3 linked regions of the Yarrowia lipolytica genome follow. The protein of the gene in region 1 purifies or fractionates together with the protein of each later gene. This does not show direct contact. Links are inferred from orthologs where the notes say so. Each region holds a gene or a part of one and is shown on either strand. Other genes may lie near its edges.

Region 1 (7,364 bases):
GAGGTCATGATGTTGGAGAGGCCCTGCTGGGTGGCCTCGACATCAATGTCTTCAGTCTCGACCACTCTCTCGGCCTTGGACTTGATCAGAGTCTGTTTTTCCTCCTTCTTGTGCAGCACGGTGATGGGCAGAGGCAGCTTGACGGCTCCATTCTTGTAAAAGGTCTTGCCCAGGCAGAAAGGCATCTCCTCGGTGATGTCCTCGTCAACCACAAAGATGTCGTGTGCAGCAAACAGCTGTCGTCGGGCCTCGTAGGGCTTGAACTTGCCTCGCAGCTTCTGTGTTCCAACCACTCGTGACAGAGCGGGGGTGGTGGCGCCCTTGAGAGCTCGCTTGTACGAGTTCTGAGGGTTCTGGGACAGCAGGCAGATGGAGGGCTGCTCTGCACTCTTGGTCCACAGACCGTGGGGGACCTGGACCAAGGTGGGGACCTGGGCCTTCTCGGAAGACACAAACCGCTTGGAGGTGATGACCAGGTAGATAAACTGCTCCTCGTTGTCGTCGGCAAGCAGGTTGTTGGCGTCCTCTTCGGCCTGCTTTTGGGTGAACTTCAGCAGGGCCTGGGCAGCGTTGATTGTGTTGTCGGAGGATGCGAGAGGGCACGACGAGGTCTCGGCGGTGGACACGGAGGATCGTCGTTTAGTGGGAGTGGCTTTTGAGGGAGTATCGCCCTTGGTAGGGGTGTCAACAGCAGCCTTGGCTGACTTGGTGCTCTTAGGAGTGCCCTTAGGAGTGCCCTTAGGAGTACCCTTGGGGGTTCCCTTGGGGGTTCCCTTGGCAGCGGATTTGGGAGTGGCTACCTTGGACTTGACGGGAGTGCCCTTGGGGGTTCCCTTGGATGCGGATTTGGCGACCATTGTTGGGTTGTGTAGTCTGGTGTCTGGGTGTGGATCGCAGGCAAAATAATTTTGGCATAATCCTAAAAAAATTTAAGAGCTGCAGATTTTCAAACTCAAACTGGCGGGTGGATTTGAGCAGAGCCAATTGAGGTATTATCAAAGATTTTGACTGGGATTATAGCATTTGTGAGATCATTAATTCGCATATATACTTGTTCTAAATAAAACCCACTTTTTCGCTTGTCGATCCGACACCTATTGGTCTAGATATGGTGGTCCTGTTCTCACTACTCCCTGTCGTCTATAGTTCAACTGAACGTTACTCTGACTGAAGTCCGACTACCATTGGGAGGGCATATCGAGTAGAGGAATGTGTCGAATGTGTCGAATGTTACGAATGTGCCGACAGTGTCTGGGTGGCGTTCTGTGTGTGTATTGTGGCGGTGTTTGTCTTTTAATGGGACGGTGTGATCTATTTGGAGGTAAAATTTTGAAGAACTCACTTAATAAACGTTTAAGTATAGTTGACTCTACTTGACCAGTTCAGTTGACTATAACTTTGTCCCAAGTAAACGTCAACTATGACTAAGTGAGGAAATCTACATGTCAACAATCTACAAACTGTACAGTACAACGGATTTTTTTATCTAAAACTCTGCTGACTAAATTAAACGGTCGTTTCGGATCACCTGATATCTCACATTACTCTCCAGCTACCTTCATTCACCGTCTTGATCACCTCCTGGTCGATTGCGATTGCCCTCAACGTTGCACCACGTGACTTTGAGTTTCGATACAATATCGCAGAATCCAAGCTCTGCAGAGCGTCTCTATCATACACACAAAAAAACACATCATGGTGAGTACGAGTGCTGGAGAGAAACATATGGTTTGGACAAACGACTGATTAGTTTGAGAGCAACTACAGAATGTGGTATCATCGGCAATAGAGGGACTTCAGACATCACTCTACGCGATGACATACATGAGACGCATTACAAGGGTGGTTCGAGACATGACACGAACGAGGATGTACTTCCGGCTGGTTCGGTTCGACCATCCCATAGGAGTGTCTTCCTATGAAGTCGATTCGATACTATCGGCTTCTCATCAGCGACTGTAGTGAAGCACGACGACATGGCCTCACCGAGAGGTTGACCCTGAGGCCCCATTGAACCGTGTTGGTATTTATCGTGGTGCTCATCTGACTTTTCCGTTCGGGTTATCCACAGCCGCTGAAATATCTGGGCGCCGCTTCAAGCAGGCACGAGATGGTGGTCTGGTCACGGTTTTTTGGTTTTGCTACATTGTTCGATTCGCCGCTCAACATGCTTCTTTCATCAGGTCGAATCTAACGTCTGGTATGATTCATGAACAGATGTGCCGCGACCACTCCACCTACTCTCGCTCGTTTTTGACATCTGCTAACACAGGGAAAACGAAAGTCTTCCTCTGCCCCCGCCAAGAAGGTGAAACAAACGCTGGCAACCCAGTTTGCATGCCTGTTTTGCAACCACAACGACTCGGTTGTGTGTTCAATGGACAAGAAAATGGGCATTGGCAGCCTATCGTGCAAGGTGTGTGGCCAGTCGTTCCAGGCCAGCATCAACGCTCTGTCTGCGCCTATCGATGTCTACTCCGAGTGGATCGACGCCTGTGAGGCTGTTGCGGAGCAGGAGAAGAACAAGGATGACGAGTTCATTGAGAAGGACGGAGGCTATGCTAGTGACGACGACCACGTGCCCAAGGAGGAGGACGATGAGTTTTCCGATCTTGAGTAAGGCGGAACTCACAGGGCGAACAAACAGTGCATGTATAAGAAAAGAATGTATATTAAATGTGGATGGGGTGGAAGGGGGGCATGCTGACTTGCTGTAGGAATGGAAGGGTACCCAAAGAAAGGGCATGAGCCGCAGTGTCTAATACTCGTACAATTGGACGAGGACTTCTTATGGCATCACTAGTATCTACAGTACAGTATGTACGGGTACGAGTACGTACCCATACATTGTGCAGCTGTCAAATACAGTACTCATTTTTTGTACAAAGTCCGAATAATTGCTCCGGAACTTGTCTGACAACTCTTGTCGGGCCATTTTCTCTCGGTGCTTTCTTTTTCCATTAGAGCATGTTTACTCATCCAGTACACGATCCCTGATATGACAGTCATGATAGGGTTGCGATGTTATTGAGAGCGGCTCGAGTTTCGGGATGTCCAATGCTACAGTCATTAGAATACTGTACTTGTAGGGATATGAACGGAGTATATATGTGATCTATTCAGCTTGTGACGTGACAGCTACGATACAGCAGAATGGTCCGGCTCTACACCAACTCTCCACAAGCATGTCCCTCAACAGGTGCGCCGCTCACTATCGTACTTGTAGGGAAACCAAACAAGCGGTGTCTTGTATATGCGATCAATTAGCTATTTTAGTGCGTTTATTCAGCAAGCTTGGGGAAAAGGTCCTCCTTGAGGGTGATGCCGAGCTCCTCTCGAACGTCCTTGAGAGCGTCAAGGTATGCCTGGTACTGGGACTTGTTGTCAACCTTGTATTTAAGACCCTCGAACACTCGGACGGCGGTGGGGAAGTCGTTGACTCGTCGGCAGGCCTGGAGAGCCTTCTCGATCACGGAAGGTGCGGGGACCAGATCGTAGGCGAAACAGTTGTTGAGAACTCGCTGGACCTCAAACAGATCGTAAGCCTCCTCGAACTCCTTCTCGAATCTGTGTTAGTAAGATGAATTTAACTGGCCAGCAGCTCATTGGTGACGTGTGAACGAGTCTTGGTCGTACCACTTGGTGTTCTGTCATGTCCGTTTATGGTGAGTGCTGTGATGAGCTGTGAGGTGTCATTGTACGTTGTAGTTCGAATGATAGGTCAATCATCAAGGGTCAGATGTCTCGGATAAAGACGACAAAACCGTCATCTTGTCTTCATTCCACCTCCCAATTCCCTGCGTTTGTGATTGTGTCTCCCTGAGCCGATTCCTGTATCTCGTCCCAGCTGACGCCTGATAGCCGAACAGCAAACACGACACCACAGCAAACACCGTCATCACGTGTTCACTGTACCACACGTATGACTAGCCGTTTCCCACGTCCACACTCGTCCATCTCGTCGTTTCATTAACCGCATCCTCCATGTGGTTGTACTCACCGAGTGGTGAACTCATCGAAAGTCTCCTCGTGAGCAGCGCTGTAGTTTCGGATAGCAAGAGGCTGGGCTCGCACGGCCTGGAAGGTAGGTCGGGCAATGCTCAGTCGAGCAGCGGAGTTGAGGGCGGAGCCTCGGGCGATAGATCGGAAAGCAGAAGCAAAGACCATTGTGATGTTGGGGTAGTGACGTGCTGATGAGAGTGTAAATATCACCGTTTCGAAAGTGGTCTGGTTTTCCAAAATGCAAAGTCAACCAAACTTTTCGGCAAGCTGATTGGAGGAGTCCACCACAACATTAAGGTTTCGACATGTGCAGTACATTTGGTCATGGCCCAATACCTGGGAATGGGCCATAGGGGACGAGTCTTTAGTAATCGCCGGGCGGGGGATGATGGGGCTCGTTTGAGCTCCGTGACACAGAAACAAGGTGGACACAGAACCCCGCACAACTTTGAGAGCAACTTCTGCCGTCCAACCTCCATCTCCACTTCCACCCGCTCCTAGGGGGCGCTTCCACAACATTCTCAGCCCGCCTTGCCGACAGTATGCGGGCTTGGGACAAACTGGCCAATCAGCCGTCAGCTATGCACGGTCAGCTGTGGCTGGTGTGGCTGGTGGCCTGTTTTTCGAGCCAGGTCATTTCGAGGGTTGTAAGCTGACAAGAGCGTGTCAGAGTGTCTGGAGAGTAAGAGTGCACTTTTAGACGATGCGCGATTGAGCAGATATATCGGTGCATTATTTGCTCATGCTTAGTCATTGGTAGTGAGTGAATGAGAAAACATATTGACAAGGACTTGGCAAATATATATGATGAATGGGTCTACTTGTACAAGTAGACCGATCAGAGCAGCACGGTGCAAGCCGATTTCATCTCATTTGATCTTTTATTCTTTTTCTTTTTCTTTTTCTTTTCTGTTTTTATCTCTTTTTCGTATTCTTTTTCGTATTCTTTTCGTTTTCTTTTTATTTTCCAAAAAATTTCAGATTCAATCCTCCGCAGTCACGTGACCCGACATTCATAGTTTGCATGCAGACATTATTCTGGTGAAAAATCAAGGGCCAATACGCGGAGGAGGTCAAAACACGCTGAGCGAATCAGTACTGCCCCGAGCCACGTTCAAACTGCTGCTTCACGCGCACTCACTTCTCGTTTGCCGTTTCACCGTGAAAAAACGCCTCGTCGACAGCAGATCAAAGTGTTTATATGACATGAGACGGATCAACGTGGCCGTTCGTACCGTGGGTCTGGGGCCCCGGTATGACTACAAAGCGTTGGTTCCATCGATACAGATGCCGCGGGTGTCCATTCGGGTGCCCAGAAGGGCATTCAGTGCGCTTCAGGCGCCTCAGGGAGGGCTGCAGTTCATTCAGGACATTCTCTTGGCCGAAGAGCCGACTTTTTTGCATTTGGTTCAGGAAGTGATTGAGCAACCGATACGGGAGGGAAAGAAGGGCCCCAAGGGCGCGGTACACAAGCTGCAGATGCAAAAGCTGCGTGTTTTGGCGCGGATTAAACACATGAATCTGGGGTTGGAGGAACAGGTGAGAATGGTGGCGGCAAACCGACTCATAGATCATTCCAGCCTGCTGCAGTTCTGGGAAACGTGTTCAATGGACGATGGAGGAGATCCGCAGCTTCCGCTCTCTACAGCTATTTTGCTGGGTCAGCAGATGGTGGCCGATGGAGAATTCGAGCTGGTGGCCGACTTTCTAGCCAACCAGTTCTCGTTCGGAGACATTCTTATGCTGGGCGGCCGGGTCATTGCCGACGGAGGGCCTAAAAATAAACAGAAACAAGTGGTGACGGCGTTCGAACTGTGCAGGGCTTTTGATAAGCACGGGTTTGCCCAACAGCTGGCCCGGGAGTTTTGGATAGGTAACATCAACGGAGGATTGCATTTTTGTCTGGGGTTGGATAGCTGTGCAACGGAGCAGCAGCTTCAAGACTTTCTGTACCACAACGACCGGATCAACTACCGGTTGTCCAAGTACAATAGTGGCGCGTTCATATTGGAAGATGCTCTTAAGCCATATGAGAAGATGAGGCTGTTGGAAAAGTACGTGCAATTGGGTAACACGGAGGTTTTGCGCAACTTGTTTTTCAACCAGGCTGCTGAAAAACATCAGGAATGGATCCATGCATGCATTGAGAGGGTGATACGAATGGCTATCACTGACTCCAGACTTTTGGGGGTGGTCAAGGACGTTTTGGAGAAGAAGAATGACCTCCCAGTGTGGTGTACTGCTCGAGTAACGGCTCTAGTGACCGATCAGAAGTCTCTACGAAGTCTCTGGGCAAGATATACTGCACAATATGCCCATTTGGCTGAAGATGAGACTGTCAAACAGACAATGGTGACGTTTCTGGAGAAGGCAGTGGCCCTGGGAGATATTCATTCGGCCAGTAGCATCACCAAGGTGCTTGGAGAGAACACTCCGATTCCCTTAGTTAAACAGTACCTGCATCTGTTGTTTAACAACCGTCTACACAAGCGTGAGTCAGACAAGTTTGATCTGATTACACGTCTGTTGGATGCATATTCGAGCCACCCTTCGGTAATCATGAAGGCTGTGGGCGCTGTCTGGCCTCACAAACGATATCACAAGTCGGAGGTGCTTCTATGGGACCTGCTACGTGCCTTCGAGGCTAGTAAGCTGCCCCATTGGTCTCAGCTTCTGGAGAAGCATTTTGCTCTGGCGATTTTTACTCGGCCTCCTGTTGAAAAAGTTGAGTACTACTTCCTACCCAAAGTGTCTGTGCGAGCCATCTGGCTGTGTATTCAGACTGAGCTATCCAAGGCCATGGAGGCTGTGACGGGCGATGTGGATCGAAGCGGACGTCTGCAGTTGATCACTATTGCTCTCATGGCTATCAGAATCAAGTCCAGAAGGAGGCGGTTCCAAAGAGGCCATTTCTTGGAAGCTGAAAAGGAGGAGTCGGAGGTAGAGAGCGATGATCAGCCAGAGACCAGGTTAGTCGTTTCCAACCCCTACGCTGACCTCGATTTGAGCCTACTGCCTCCACGGGCTCAGCTAGAACGGCTTCAGATCCCAAGTGAGTACCTGAAGATTCGAGATCTGGACATGTTCTTACTACAGCACATTGGCAAACAAGAGAAGCCATTTTCACAGCTTGTGGACATGGACCAGTGGATCTACGACGTTCTCAGTGTGGAAACATACAAACCCAACTTGGAGACGCTGTCTGTTGAAGACCCCGCTCTGGCCTACAGACTCATCCGATGGTTCAGACACGACTTCATGTTCCCCATTCCGCCTCGAATCTTGCGGGCCATGGTGCCCGGGTTTGCCACTTCAGAACAGCTCACCAACAGCATGTCTTTCCGGTACATTTCCGAGGTTAT
Region 2 (6,883 bases), on another chromosome or scaffold:
CCAGGACGATGACGTGTCGCTCGTGTCTGTGGCCGCCTATGCCGCCATCAACGCGGCCACCCAGGACTTTGTGCGGTACCTGTCGGAACAGGCTGGTCTCATGGCTCGAATGGACCAGCGAAAGACGTTGGCGTACAAGGACGTGGCCGAGGCGATAGCTAAGAACCCCAAGCTCGAGTTTCTGCAGGACATCATCCCCAGAACCATTCCTGCGCGATCACTTCAGTCTCGAGGGGTCCAGGTGCCCAAGGAGCCTACAGGCAACATTTCGCTAACCAACTTCTTCAAGCCCAGCGGCGCCGGGGCATCGGCAGGATCCAATGCCGGCACTGGAACTTCTACGCCGGTGAGAGCAAGCACAGCCACCAGCACCCCTGTTCCTGAGGACTCTGTGGAGGGCTCTGCTGTGGCCATTGAGATTGATTAGGGGTGTAGAGGTGTTCACTCGCACGTAAAAGGATGGAATGGGAACCCGGTATATATACATTAATATTGGCATTTGATATGGGGATGTAGATGGGTGCAAGTGTAGGTGTTTTGGTGCGTTGGGTGTGAACGTGATGGAACCGTGCGAGGTATCAGGGATGTTTTTACGGTACGTACATGTTATTACTCGCGTTTTGCCTGTTCTCACAAGCATCGGTTTTCAAGTGAGTCTTGCTGTCTTCACAATATACGATACTTCTCTTCCAGCCAGTCTTGTTTCTGGTGAAGTAAATGGAGTTTTTTTAGTTGGTCTGATTCCAAGTAAACTATGTAATTACTTAGGCCTATTGGACGTTTGGATGCAGAAAAAAACAAAAAACAGTATGATGTACTTTTAGAGAGGTGCTGAAAAGTACAAGTACTGTAAACGCACGAAGAACATCTTCCTTCCGCGGTTGGTTCAAAGAACTGGAGGAAGCCGTTGCAAGCATCTTCAAAGTCTGCACTTACTCAGTTGGGGTTCATTGACTGAACATAGTGAACCCATTCAGAGTGTGTAATGTGAGGCAACCGATGAGAGCGATGAATTTACGACGATTACCGCCAAGAATCAATTCAAGAAAGATTGGAAATATAACTTTTCTTCTCATTTCGTCATTCTGTTTTTTTCTTTTTTTCTTCCGTCTTTCGTCTTTCGGTCTCACCTCATTGCTCCATCTCCAGCTCTCCAACTGCCTCCTCTAACTTCATTTTATTTTGTCACTCCATTTCCCAGTCAAATTAAGTTGCTTCTAATGTGACAAGCCCAACGTCCTAATCTTGATAGCCGAACATGGATTACCCCCTATGTTTGCAGCCGGATGGACGAGACGATGACGTCATTGAGAAAGACACTGGACTGGAAGACTAAAACTGCGATGCAGACAACATTCACAACCGTTCCAAACAGATAAGTCAACGCTCCTGTCCTCTCGAACGACGTCCCGCTCAGCTCCTCTCGTGTTTTTCCTCCCATGTTGTGTTGTTCCGCAACTTTATTTGGTCAGACAACCTCCCAGTGACCAATGGTTCTTGAGACGCAACTCTGAATCAGCAGGTCATGGGTGATGTCAGGAATGGGACTTTAAGATGGTGGCGATGGCGGTCATGGTGGTAGAGACGGAATCTCGATAATGTGAAGAAAATGAGATGGACGATTGTGCAACTTAGCATCCCCTTATATACTTTTATCAGCGATCCCTCTACCACATTCACATGGTAACAGCGAAACCCAACATCTACACTCCACACACGATAACCACAACACACCAGCATGGCCTTTGCAGATATAGCAGATACCACACGATAACGAGGACACTCGGTAGAATTTCAGCATTTCATACTGACATCCCAGCGGAAATCCAGATCTACATCCTCCATCAGTCAAACTCCGCCCATGCTCTTGTCACCGTCATTTGTCGTCGTGTTATCTACATGGTGCTCGTGTCACCGGCCAGACTCGTGGATCGCACTGGCCTGTCAGTCGTTCGATTATAAATTTATTACACTCTCGTGCATGCACTTTTATATCCCTTAACCAATGACCAGAGTCTCGGCGTCAGCAAAGTCGTACTCGGGAATCTCGAGGTTGAGAGGAGCGGGGCCTCGTCGGATTCGGCCGGAAATGTCGTAATGGGATCCGTGGCAGGGGCAGAACCAGCCGCCAAAGTCTCCAGCCTCACCAATGGGCACACAACCCAGATGGGTGCAGACTCCGATCATGACCAGCCACTCGGGCTTCTGCACTCGCTCGTCGTCAGTCTGGGGGTCTCGCAGGGTAGCAACGTTGACCTCGTTGGCCTCTTCAATCTCTTCGGAGGTTCGGTGTCGGATGAAAATGGGCTTTCCTCGCCACTTGATGATGACGTTCTTACCGAGGGGAATGGCACCGAGCTTGACCTCGACCTTGGCCATGGCCAGAACGTCAGCGGAAGCAGACATGTTGGAAAGGAAGTCCTGGACGGTGGCCTTGGCGCCGGCAGCGGAGAGCATGCCAAACGATCCAATCATGAAGTAGGAGAAGAGACGGTTGGCATCTGTGTTTCGGTCCTTCTTGAGGTAAGGAGTGAAGTCGGGGATCTTGTATGTGGACTTGCCACCAATGGGCTGTGAAGAGACAGATCGGGTCTGAGCAAAGGCCTTTGCGGCCACAAGAGGAGTGTAGGCCTTGGGGGCCTTGACGGCCTGGGCGGCGGTTCGAAGCAGGCTCATTGTTCAGTCGAGGGTGAGTGTCAAGAGAGGTTGAAGTGTGGTGTGTGCTTGACTTGGGACCTTACGTGCAAATGTTAGCTTTTGCAAAAACTCCCTCGCAGCGCATATTTCGCCACTGTGATTGGTCCACCCGAGCCCCTACCCTGAAAACCTTAATTTGTTTGACCATTGGGAGAACTCCAAAAGCCATTGGGAGGTAAGGCCATCTCTAAAGCTGCAGTCGGTGTATGGATTGGCAAAATGACGAGTTGCCAAACAAGGCCAAAAATGCACAAATCTCGACGAGTTTGCTTACTTAATCGAGAATAATCGGCCAATTATCCCATCAAACCGGCCAGATGTCTCCTGTTTGTCGAATTGACCGAATTGAATGCACTCCCTCGGCCGCATTATCGTTTCGCTTTTGGTTGGCTGATTTCACAGTGCATTGCTGCCTGCTTTGTTCCGACCCCATACAAAGCGACAACCTTAATCGCGTCCCAACGGTCGGGGGTTCGATTCTTACGGGGGACTTTGACACAGTACCCAGTACAAGTAAATTGACACAAGAAATATAAATACTACAGGATATAAAACTACATCCTAGCAACCATCATGACAGTCAAAGTCATCGGGAATAGCACCGTATTCGTCACTGCTACTTCCACCGCCAGTCACACTGGAACCGTCATCATCCTCTGAACGATCAAACGGACGATATCCGTCAACCAACCTCATTCTCCAAGCCACACTCCAATGAAATTTGGCACCCATAGGAATGGTCCGTGCCCGACCGTAATTGGGAACTGCAACCCTTGTCCATTTCTCTTCCTCGTTCTCAACCCGGTAAGCGACCGGCATGGTTTCAAGAAACCACCAGAACCACGGTCTCCACCAAGGATCTTCTCCACGACCGTTTTCTCCCTGACGTCGAAAGAGATTTAGAGAGTCGTGCATGGGTGCAATAAGACACTCTTCGGGATCATGGTTGTTTCGAAATTCGTCAATCACTCCCTCCTTAAAGATCACCTTAAACTTGACGCTCTCGGAGAGAATCCACGCCAGAGGAATGTCAGAGAGCAAATGTGGTGACCCTCGAGGTAACCATCCTCCCCCTACGTCACCATGGTCACCTGGGAACCACAACTCCACGAGATCTCCTGATCGCTCCGGTCTATGGCGTGTTTTCTGTGTCCCAATCATATGAGATTGTTCAGAGTGAGCACGGAACATGTGGGACAGTTCTGAACGGCTGCTGCAAGGAAATCGACGTCCTGAAGCCGTGGTTCGAATTGATGACCCACTTGCAAGAACCGGTGTGCTCGCACTGATAGGGACAGGAGAAGTAGGGTGTCTCAGTATGACCATCGATCCTTTGGGTGTATGCTGCCGACTCTCAACAGGGCTGACGCGGACACTGGAAACAATACTGGTCTGTGGGCTTGCCTCAGGAGTCAGTTCAGGGCTCTGACGCTCGGCAAATATGCCGGAAGGACCAAAAAGTGTTGGGTTGTAGCAATGAGGGACAAAGAGGTTCTGTTTAAACTTGGCTCGTCGTTCATCAATGCCGACAGCATGTCGAATGTGGTGAACGATACCCGCCGAAGAGGTGTAGGGGAACGAGCGGTCCAGAATAATGCCACTGCTGTTGATGGAGTCCCACAAACCCATGAAGTAGACGCACACAGAAGGGACACTGAATGTCGACTTGAAAGAGCATGCCAGGTTGGACGTCTTGTCTTCCATAGGCTGACCAGCTGCTTCCCACGTCTTGTAGATTTCCCACGCGCAAGGTACCAGTTCGTTCTGGCCTGGAGACAATAATCCGACTCGGTCCAGCATACCTGCGAGGATTCGAGCGGTGAAGGCACCTCTTGAGAAGCCGTACAGGTATATCCGGTCGCCATGGCAATGGTGTTTCATCAAGAACATGTAGGCGGCAATAATGTGTGCATCAAGGGACCAGGCTATTCCAATGTCGACAATTTTTTCTGCGTATGAGTATGCTGCTGACCAGATGGTTTTGGGCAGGTCGACGGTGATGTGGGTTCCGATTCCGGGCTGGTAATAAACCAATTGGTTGGGTGAGTCCTTTTCGAGCATGCGGAACAGCTTGAGGACGTTGGTTTCGGGACCTGCTCCGAAACTGTTGGACGTGCCATCCAGGCAGAGAATGATGTTTTTCCCCATGCCTGGTCGAAGCCGATTGTTGGTGGGTATCATATATCCTCGGCGTATCCTTCTCCACCCAGTGAAGAGCACTGAAAGTGTTGTTGAAAAGAAGAGGTATTGTTGTAGCTGCCAGACTGTGTTTTGGTATTGTGTGCGGGATGGGTATATCTTGTCAGGTGAGGACAAAAAGGTGGCAGGTGAACGCTGGAGATCACCAGAAACACCAGAAACAGAGGAGAATAAACGTAACGCAGTAAATGAGAGCAAGAACAAACAGACTCATTCTGGCGCGCGACGTGAGGTGGGTCCGGGTTTGTGTCTCCACAAGTGCCGGCTGGTGGTGGAGGTATCAGAAGGGCTGGTGTTCAGTGTATCGATGAGACCGTGGCAAACTTGCTGTTCATGAGATGATCACGTGGAATGCTCAGTGGTATGAGTGGTGCGAATGGTATGCAATGGTATCAATGATGTGATATGGGGAGGTGGCTTGCCTAGTGTATATTGTTGTATGTAGTGTACTGTACATACTGAGATAGTTTTACAAAGTTTGGAGCATCGAGTTGGCTGAATATGATCCGATAGAAAGCATTTTATGGGAAGCCAGAAATGGCGGGAAAAGTCGGAATATAGCCGGAAAAGACTGTTTTGTGTCGAAAAGTGCATTTTAATGATACAACCACGAGCACAGTACTCGTACTTCAAGGGGATCTAATGACCCTCTACTTGACACCCCCCTAACACTCCATAAAAACATATTAACGAATTTAAAAGCTTAACTATACTGGACTATCTCCGTGCATGGACATCAGAGAAGTTGCAAATATTCCCATCCAACATTCAGGAACCCAGAAATGATTGAAATCACTTGCAACGATCGGTGAGTATCTATTTTTCCTGATCTACCAACATGTCTAACACAGTGTGGGCAAGAAGGTGCGGGTCAAGTGTCTACCTGAAGACACTATTGGCGACTTCAAGAAGCTGCTGGCAGCCCAGATCGGAACTGCTCCCGAGAAGATTGTGCTCAAGAAGGGATACCAGACCTTCAAGGACCATATCACTCTGGATGACTACGAGATCCACAACGGATCAAACCTGGAACTGTGAGTACGAGAGGAGACGAAGGGTGAGTGAGAAGCGAGAATGAGCTAACCCAGGTACTACGCCTAAGAGAGGTGCAACAAATACGATGACAAGGACCAGTTATCGAGTTATCGAGACACGTGTGGAGCGACATTGTTAGCAGGTTTCGCGCTTTCGCTTTCCGCCGCACGTGACATGAACATGGATCATAATGTATAGTGTCACTCTAGATCGCAACACATGGGCTTAGTGCTCAGCCGAATGGGGCCTGTGGATCAGCTACAATTGGCCTATGAACAGAAGTGTGTGGTGCCCCATCGAATTGAAGATTCGACGTTCGAAAAATATAATAAATCAAATCCAACTGTATTGTATCTATTCTGCGTGGAACTGGACAGTATTTCAGTTTTTAGCCAATTTCTCGAAAAACAAAACCAGACTCTAGATGTAGAAAACAAGCGATTGAAAGACAAATGTACACATACAACAAGTTCTGTCTTTTGGAATAAGTTCGATGAAACAAACCACTCTACTCCTAAGTACACCATCTAATACTTACCACCACCGTCACGTTGACTATCACTACACCGACCTACATCAACTACTAACTCCCACCGTTCTCAATCATCATGAATCATGCTCAATATATACAATTTTCGCCTCCTCTGGTTTCGACTCGTGTCCAGTCGCTCATCCTTCAGGTTTGTGTGTCACGTACCGACACGTCTCTTACTCTCGATCGATCCAGTTCTTTCGATCGGGGGCATCCTCCTCGGCAACAGGGCCGGACTTGACATACTCGTTCACCTTCTTGACGGTGAGCTTGGGGTCGAGGGGACCCGAGAAGCCTCGGAAAGAGTTCTTGATGGGCTCCAGGGTGGGGGACACAAACGGCTTGAGCTCACAAGCCTCCAGACCGGCAGGAACGACAAAAGTTCGGACCTTGTCTCGGTTGATAATGAATCGACCCTTG
Region 3 (7,636 bases), on another chromosome or scaffold:
AATATACACATCCCCCTTCTCTCAGAATCCGTCCTTCTCGAATTGGTCGCCTTTCATCAACTCCTTGATGCGTGCAACATATGCGTCGAACAAAGGATTTTGGACCACATCCACAATGTGGTTCTCCATAGCTTGCGTGTCAGTCAGCCATTCGGGGTCCTCGGTCTGTGTTCCTCTGCTGACCATCCCATTCCCGCTCCGAACGTCTGTATCTGCAGGGGTAAAGTGCTTCTTCCACGACTTGGCTCTTTTCGGAGAGTTGGGGGGCGAGCTGACAGGAGAAGCCCCCAAAGAAGGCATATCGTCAACGGTGCGTTTCCACGTAGAAGTCTCAGAGAATCTCCTTGGCTGCGACAATGGGGTTGGCTTCACCGGCAGATAGGACTGCGACGACGATGGTGCTAGCCTCGCAGACCGAGAGTGCTTGAATTGGTATGGGGGAGATGCTTGCGACGAACTGGGGGGATCAACAAAAGTCTGGCTCATAACTGGAGGCTCAGTAGCTGGACCAGGAGGTTGGGTGGGAGAGAGGGTTTGAGACTGGAGAAAGGGATCAATCTGGGTGAGGTCGCCATCATCATCTTCTCCGTTCCACTGAGACTCTGGGTTGAAGTTTTTGAAGGAGGTCAGGGTGGCACCTTCAGTCCTGGTAGACTTGGGAGGGCTACCCTTGATACACACTCCCGCCTTTGATAGCATTTCCACTGCCCGGTCGTATTCGTCCATGTACGCGAATTTGATTTGAAAGCGATAAGTCTTGGTTAGCTGGAAAAGGATATCTCAGGGTATCATGTTAGGGTATTGCTGCGTTGGCGTTGAAGGTATCAATAATATTGTAATGTGGACAACCACTTGCGTCGCTCATTCGTAACCGACTCGTGGAACACTCACCATGGTATGGAATCTCCTCACCAAGTACTTGAAACCAATCCCTGGCGGTCTACAAATGGCCACAAACGGCGGGTTGTTCTTTCCGTAGGTGGATCCGAACCGCTCCTCAATCTCGTCTGTGTCAACATGCTCCAAAGAGGTGTTTTTGTATTTGAGGGAAATTTTCGCGCCCCCGGCGGGCGTGGTATCAATGGAGAGCTCTAGGGGCGAGTTTTGGTATTTGGTCCATTCGGACGCGTCGCGGTCAATGCTGCTGCTAGCCAGTCCCTGCGGAGTCGGCGCGTTTTTGTGCAGATAGATGTATTTGCTGATCCTGAATGTCGCCATGGTTTTGGTGGTATCAGTGGAGAAAAAGGGGGTGGAGAAAAGAGGTGGGAATGAAATTTCGGGTTAAGATGAATGTTTTTTTTTTTGTACATGACAATGTGCATGTTGTGTGGGGTTAGAGTTGGTATTTAAACCGCGAGATGCCCACTCCCTCGACTGACCCAGACGATTCTCTCAATTGGTCTCAGCGGAGGAGGTGGCGCTCCCAGCTGTGAATGGTGCTATACAACCTCGGGGTTGGTTCCACTTCCTCCAAGTCCAACTTGTCACTGGCTGACTCAACGAGGGTACTTAGCTTCACAGTCCTTCCTCCAGTCCTTCCTCAGTAGATGGACACCAGAAGACACCATGCCAGTCGCGGCTTACAAAGCAGCAGATGGAGTCAAGAACACTCCAACGAATACTGTGCTATTCAGTGATCACAACACAGTCCAACTGTCCTGGTCTATCTACAGCACGCGCACTTGTTGCCTGTGGTGTACCCGTACAGTCCGAGGTATCATTCGCTTTCTTTTACATCCTGTCACGCCCTCTACAGACCAATCTACAATCCTGGCAACTGAGAACTCAATCTCAATCTACAATCCTAGCTACAGCTCAGTCGTCATCCTAAGCTCACTGGAAAGTCTTGGGCTTCCTCGGTGACCTCGGTGACTCCTCAATGACTTCCTCGTCAACGTACTCAAACTCATACGCCCACTCACAGGCCGACGGCTTTTTTCTCGTCGGCCCACGCGTGGACTGCTTCGTGTCAATTGTTTTAGTTCATTAACTATGCATCTAGTTCTTGGGGGGGTTGTAGATAAACTTTCGGTTCTTGATGGGGGACCACTTGAACTTCTTGATGTAGACCGACAGTCCAAGCATGGCGGAAATGACAATGATGGCCTTGAGACCAAGCTTCTTTCGCTCGTCATGCTCAGGCTCGGCAGCCCAGGTCAGGAAGGCAGCGACATCCTTGGCCATCTGGGAGGTGGTGGCGGGAGTGCCGTCCTCGTACTCGACAACACCGTCGAACAGAGTTCGGGCCATACCAATGCCTCCTCCGGGGAAGTAGGGGTTGTAGTTCATTCCGGGGGCGAGCACGACGCCGGCAGGAGGCTCGTCGGGGTAGCCGGTCAGCAGAGCAAAAATGTAGTCGGCACCTCCGTGTCGGGCCTTGGCAATGAGGGACAGATCCGGGGGAAGAGCTCCCTGGTTGGCGGCTCGGGCAGCCTGCTCGTTAGGGTAGGGGCCGGGAATGTAGTCGGCGAGCTTTCCGGGTCGCTTTCGGGGGTTACCCTCATCATCGGGCTCGTCGTCGTACTCGAGCTCCTCAGCGAAAGCCTTGGCCTCATCGGTGGTGTGGGTCACGCCCACGAGGTTTCGCCAGGCGATTCGGTCCAGAGAGTGGCAGGCGGCGCAGACCTCCTTGTAGACCTGGTAGCCTCGTCGCAGAGAGGCGTGGTCAAAGGTGGAGAGCATGCCATTCTGGGGCCAGGGGTACTCCGCTGGGTGGAGACCGTGCTCAGCGGCGGTCATGGCCTCAGCCTTGGTTGTGTAGTAGTAGGTGGTGGTGGCACCGGCACACACGGCGGAGGAGATTCCGAGCAGGGCCTGTCGAAGGGGGATTGCTTTGAACATCTGCGTTAGTATGGGTGTGTGATGATTGTTGATGGGCGGGTTTTGATTGGTTGGGACGGGGCAAGTGACGCAAGACCGGGGTGACAATGAGACCCACAGACGTGACACACGTCGATTCTCGGGCCACACGCCAATTCGCCGTCGTCGCATTTCGCTGCGAATGTAGTTTCTCGGTCGCAATGTCGATGCTCTTGTTGCTGCTGCAGTTGCGTTGGGTGTGCTGTCCCACATTGTGGTCGGCGTGTCGCACTTTGGGATCGATCCTTGTCGTCATCTCTCCTCCTCACCGACACGGAATCGCGCCACATGCCCAGAGTCGTGGTTTCACCTGGCCTTGTCGTCCCAGTCCTCTTTTCCTTTTCTCCCTCTCCGTGTCACTTGTCTCGTCTCTCCTTGCGGTAATACTCAGAACATGACCACCTCAACACCAGTGCCAACACCACCTGGACCCACTGGCAATTGATCGGTGACATGGCTCCAGTCGTCGTCCGCGCCCCAGCGCCCCAGCGCCCCCATTGCCGATACTCACCCTGGATATCGGTTACAAAAGTGGTGACAAACCTTTTGATGGAAGAGTGTAGCAGGCCGAGTTAACGTACTTGGGTGGTAAAAAATGCGGGAGCAGGATTAAGCGCACCTGTGATTGGCTGATTTCTAAATGTGGTTTGGGACTTGTGTTGTCGTGCAAAGAGGGTGCTGCCATTGGTCTTTGGAGTTTAAACGGGGCCAAATGGGGAGGCCGTGGGTCTTTGTGTCCCCACAAATTTATCTATATAAACCCTCTTTGCGCCCCCGAATCGACCGCCGCCATTGCCCACTCCATCACCCTCTTCCTCTACACCCATTCCACCCTATTTTTCAACTCCACTCAAACACGCCAATTTCCACCGCCTTTCTCCCAACCAATGACAATTAGCGTATAATAAAAGAACCCTAACCCATATGCTCGCCGGTTGCCCAATATGACTTTAGCCTCGAAACCATAATATGGTATGATCTGGAGGCGTTGGATATTGTAGGGGGACATGAGACTGCAACGCCGAATGACACAATGTCGAGCAAACTAACTCATAATCTGAATTGTAACGAACGAGGAGTTATACAGGTCCTAACCTGTGCTATACAGCTCCCCCAATAAAGTTCATTAACAGCTCATAATCTGTACAATCAAAGGTTCAACCGCCCAGTCCATGCATGCATGTCCTCATCGACATTTACTATTGTACATTTCATATACAATATTACAATGTTGCTCTCCTTAAACATTGCCCGTTCTCAGGACGATTACTAAGCCGACTTATTGAACTCTATTTCTGGTTTTCAAGCACAGGTCGCCCAAAAGAACAAAATATAATTTCAGACTATTTCTTAAACATGACGAAACTTGACATTTCTGGTACCGTTCGAATCGTACATTTCTCCCCGACATCGCCGCACCGTTCATTTGGCCCCATCTCGTGTTCCCGAACACCTGCCCCATTTACCATTGTCACCACAAAAGCTTATTTTCGGGAAAAGTTTATCCAGCTGTCATAATATCCCAGGACTGTGGAACCCCCTTCAAACCAGCACAACACGGTATCTGCGGCAAATGAACAATAATGCGCCGGCCATCGTGCGGTCGCTGGCTCTTTTGAACTCGCTTCGAGACCGCACCGATCTGTTATCGCGGCAGCTGGAAGATTTGACGTCCAAATGCTCCTCCGACCCCGACGCGTATCCTCTGTCTTCACTGTCGGTTCGACGAGAGATATCGAGCATCTACAACCAACTGACGATGCTGCAGCACAATAGTGCGGTGAAAGCTGCTGACGTGGCCCGTTTGGTTGAGGGCGAATTGGCTAAGGGCCGCCAAGCTTTACGCGTTTTGGCCAGTGGAGAAGATGGAGACCAGGTGGTCCGAGAGGCGGACACGAGCGACACAAGGGACAACCACGACATACATGGAGTACGCGCACAAAGACAGGATACACAAGGAGCTATACCCCAGGTTGCCTTTGAACTTCCACCGGAGGTTTTGAATGGAGACACCAATGGAGTGTTGGAGGAGGATGACAGGGGACATGTTGAGAAGGAATTGCAAGCCTCGTCGGAACAGGAGTTGGAGGAGGCAGAGGAAACAGCTACTGCAGCAGCACAATCGGAACAGACCAACGGAAGTGTGCAAGAGGTGGATGAGCCTGTGGAGGGTGTTGGGGCTGACGAGGAGCCAGTTGAAGAACCAGTTGAAGAACCAGTTGAAGAACCAGTTGAAGAACCAGTTGAAGAACCAGTTGAACAGGTTACTGAAACCCCAATCACGGAGGAAGTGCGGTCACCGAAGAAGAAAAAGTCCGGCAAGTCGCTAAAGAAGAAGGAGAAACGGTCAGAGGCGTTACCCGAGTCTCCGCCAGACAGCATACCCGCGTCTCTTTCTGTGAATTCTCCCCCCCCAGCAGATGTGTCAGCTACAACCGCATCGGAAGAAGCTATTCCTCTGATTCCGTCAACGCCTCCAGACGACGAGGACAAGAAGCAGCACAGCAAGAATTCTCGACGCCGCAAGCGCGACAACCGCATTTTGCATGAGCTCAGCTCGTTGGATATTGTCAATGTCAACGAGGAGGCCTCCAAGAGAAGGAAGAGAAGGAGGTCAGAGGTAGAAGTGGAGGAGAAGGAGAGTGTGGGTGGGGAGAATAAGCAGGAACACGAGGAGGAAGAGGAAAATGAGGAGGAAGAGGAAAATAAGGAGGAAGAGGAAAATAAGGAGGAAGAGGAAAATAAGGAGGAAGAGGAAAATGAGGAGGAAGAAGAAAATGAGGAAGAAGAGGAGGCCACCGAAGAAGGCGAGGTTGAAACTACTCCTGAAGTGGACACTGAAGCTCAAGATGAAACGGTTCCCTCTCAATCAAAAGTCCCACCTGTGGCTGATGATGTGGTCGCTTCTCCTCCCGCAAAACGCCGAAGAACAAGGTCCCAGAGCTCTTCCAAGGAAAAGCCTCTAAACCCTATTAAAGAGGTGGTTGAAGAGGCGGTCGAGGAGGATACTAAAGAGGAGGACAAGGAAGGTCTTGGAGAGGCGAAATCCACAGCAAACAGACGATTGCCACCCCCTACACCGCCCGTGGAAGACGTGTTTTGCACGTGTCGAAAGGGCTCGCAGGGCCGCATGATTGCGTGCGACTCGCCAAAGTGCAAAACGGAGTGGTTCCACATGAAGTGCGTGGGGCTCAAACACCCACCTCGAGGCGACTGGTACTGCGACGCGTGCGCCAAGATCCGGGCTGACCGCAAGGCCCGCAAGAAGGAGCTGGGTGCAAAGAACAAGATGTCGAAACAGGCTAAAAAGGCCCAGGAGGAGGGAACCGAAGCATCTCGACCGAGGCGGACGAGGAAGAGGTAACTTCAGTGTCACCGAGTGCCCACACCAGTAGTTTTGGCCATGAGAACTGCTTCAATACTCACCGCTCGCGCATCCCACATATTTATTACCATCATTATAAGTTATATTAGTCTAGTTAATTTTGATTGAATCATCTATCCAATATATTAGTGTATATAAGCAGAGCGCAGGTGCCGGGCTGCGATGTATGGTGCGATTATTTGCGTTGTATAAAACGTCGAGCTGCACAATTACTCGCTCAGCACATGGTATTACTGCCACATTCCGGGCTCACACATGTACAACCACGAGTAGGCGACAAAACTGCCACACACGCCTATGGCAGAGTACACGGACATGATCATGAGACCCAGAAACTCCATATTGGGTCGTCCGTCCAGAATAACAGACAGAGCTACCACGGGAACAAATCCCATCTGGTAGAAGAAGGAGGCTCGGTCAAGCAGAAACTCGCGCGTGGTGATGCTGTTGCGGTGGTCCGACACCAGCCGGTGGTTGAACCACAAAAAGTACATACAGAACCACGCAAACGTGTACAGAATCTTGACCATAAACTCGGCTGACGTGTAGATGAGCGGGAAGAGCGAAATGTAGCCGGAGATGGTCAGGGGGATGAACACCAGCAGCAGCCGCTTGTCTCGTAGCACCACAAACGTGAAGGGAATAATGATCATCAAGATGGCCTTCTCATGGACATGCCATCCAAACAAGAATGACGCGTACGCGCAGTAGGTGATGGCACCCACAAATCGCGCGTACGTGGGTTTCATCAGAAGGGGCCCCAGACCCAGGAGCTGGTAGAAGAGGGTGAGGAAGAACGTGGTTGAAGGAGACACGTTGGGCAACACACCAAACGCAACGTCTCCCACAATGCCTCTAGTGCCTCCAGAGACGGCTCCTCGGCCCTTCATGACCGTCACAGCCACCTTGTCTGCAAACGAGTACAGCGCCCAGAAGTTGGGGGCCCAGTAGGCGTGGGTGAGTCCTCGGGAGAAGGGGAATAGGCGCGACTTGAGATTTTCGAGCTGTCCAAATGCCACAAACGGCCCGAAACAGACAGTGAAAGTGCCCACAACAATGAGACCGAGCAGCACGGTGTCTCTGAAGTTGATTCTCAGGCTTTTGAACGAGTTTCCGGGGATGACCACGACACGAAGAAGATAGACAAAGTAGGCCGGCGCCAGGTAGAGGTAGATATGTTTGAAGCACAGCAAAATGGCAAACAGCGCTCCGCAGAGGAGCGGCTGGCCGTTTCGAGCTGCCACCATGCTGGCAATCATGATTCCGTACATGAAGCCGTTGTACTGAAAGTGGATATGGTCGATGATGAGCAGTCCGGGAGAGAGCACGACCGAGGAGGCGACGGCAAAGGCCCGCAACTTGGCAGTGGGCTTTGTTTTTGTGGCGGCCAGC

Evidence for each region.
Region 2: the proteins of YALI1_E12730g (region 1) and YALI1_A03322g purify together in Saccharomyces cerevisiae (affinity purification with mass spectrometry; 4 studies listed by BioGRID, with this or other methods). This does not show direct contact. The link is inferred for Yarrowia lipolytica from reciprocal best matches to the Saccharomyces cerevisiae genes COX6 and RIP1.
Region 3: the proteins of YALI1_E12730g (region 1) and YALI1_A17570g purify together in Saccharomyces cerevisiae (affinity purification with mass spectrometry; 3 studies listed by BioGRID, with this or other methods). This does not show direct contact. The link is inferred for Yarrowia lipolytica from reciprocal best matches to the Saccharomyces cerevisiae genes COX6 and CYT1.

What each region holds. Positions count from the first base shown.
Region 1 is NC_090774.1:1,269,469-1,276,832, forward strand, and holds YALI1_E12730g (uncharacterized protein), read right to left. Parts: upstream 4,168-7,364; coding exon 4,001-4,167; intron 3,568-4,000; coding exon 3,282-3,567; downstream 1-3,281. Other genes in the region: YALI1_E12703g (uncharacterized protein), read right to left, coding at 1-857; YALI1_E12711g (uncharacterized protein), read left to right, coding at 1,696-1,698, 2,273-2,620; YALI1_E12747g (uncharacterized protein), read left to right, coding at 5,209-7,364. UniProt on the Saccharomyces cerevisiae protein: Component of the cytochrome c oxidase, the last enzyme in the mitochondrial electron transport chain which drives oxidative phosphorylation.
Region 2 is NC_090770.1:328,043-334,925, reverse strand, and holds YALI1_A03322g (uncharacterized protein), read right to left. Parts: upstream 2,677-6,883; coding exon 1,999-2,676; downstream 1-1,998. Other genes in the region: YALI1_A03351g (uncharacterized protein), read left to right, coding at 1-427; YALI1_A03300g (uncharacterized protein), read right to left, coding at 3,259-4,878; YALI1_A03289g (uncharacterized protein), read left to right, coding at 5,679-5,704, 5,748-5,930, 5,985-5,997; YALI1_A03278g (mitochondrial 54S ribosomal protein mL41), read right to left, coding at 6,640-6,883. UniProt on the Saccharomyces cerevisiae protein: Component of the ubiquinol-cytochrome c oxidoreductase, a multisubunit transmembrane complex that is part of the mitochondrial electron transport chain which drives oxidative phosphorylation.
Region 3 is NC_090770.1:1,753,914-1,761,549, forward strand, and holds YALI1_A17570g (uncharacterized protein), read right to left. Parts: upstream 3,073-7,636; coding exon 1,999-3,072; downstream 1-1,998. Other genes in the region: YALI1_A17546g (uncharacterized protein), read right to left, coding at 22-726; YALI1_A17551g (uncharacterized protein), read right to left, coding at 862-1,218; YALI1_A17583g (uncharacterized protein), read left to right, coding at 4,433-6,223; YALI1_A17622g (uncharacterized protein), read right to left, coding at 6,475-7,636. UniProt on the Saccharomyces cerevisiae protein: Component of the ubiquinol-cytochrome c oxidoreductase, a multisubunit transmembrane complex that is part of the mitochondrial electron transport chain which drives oxidative phosphorylation.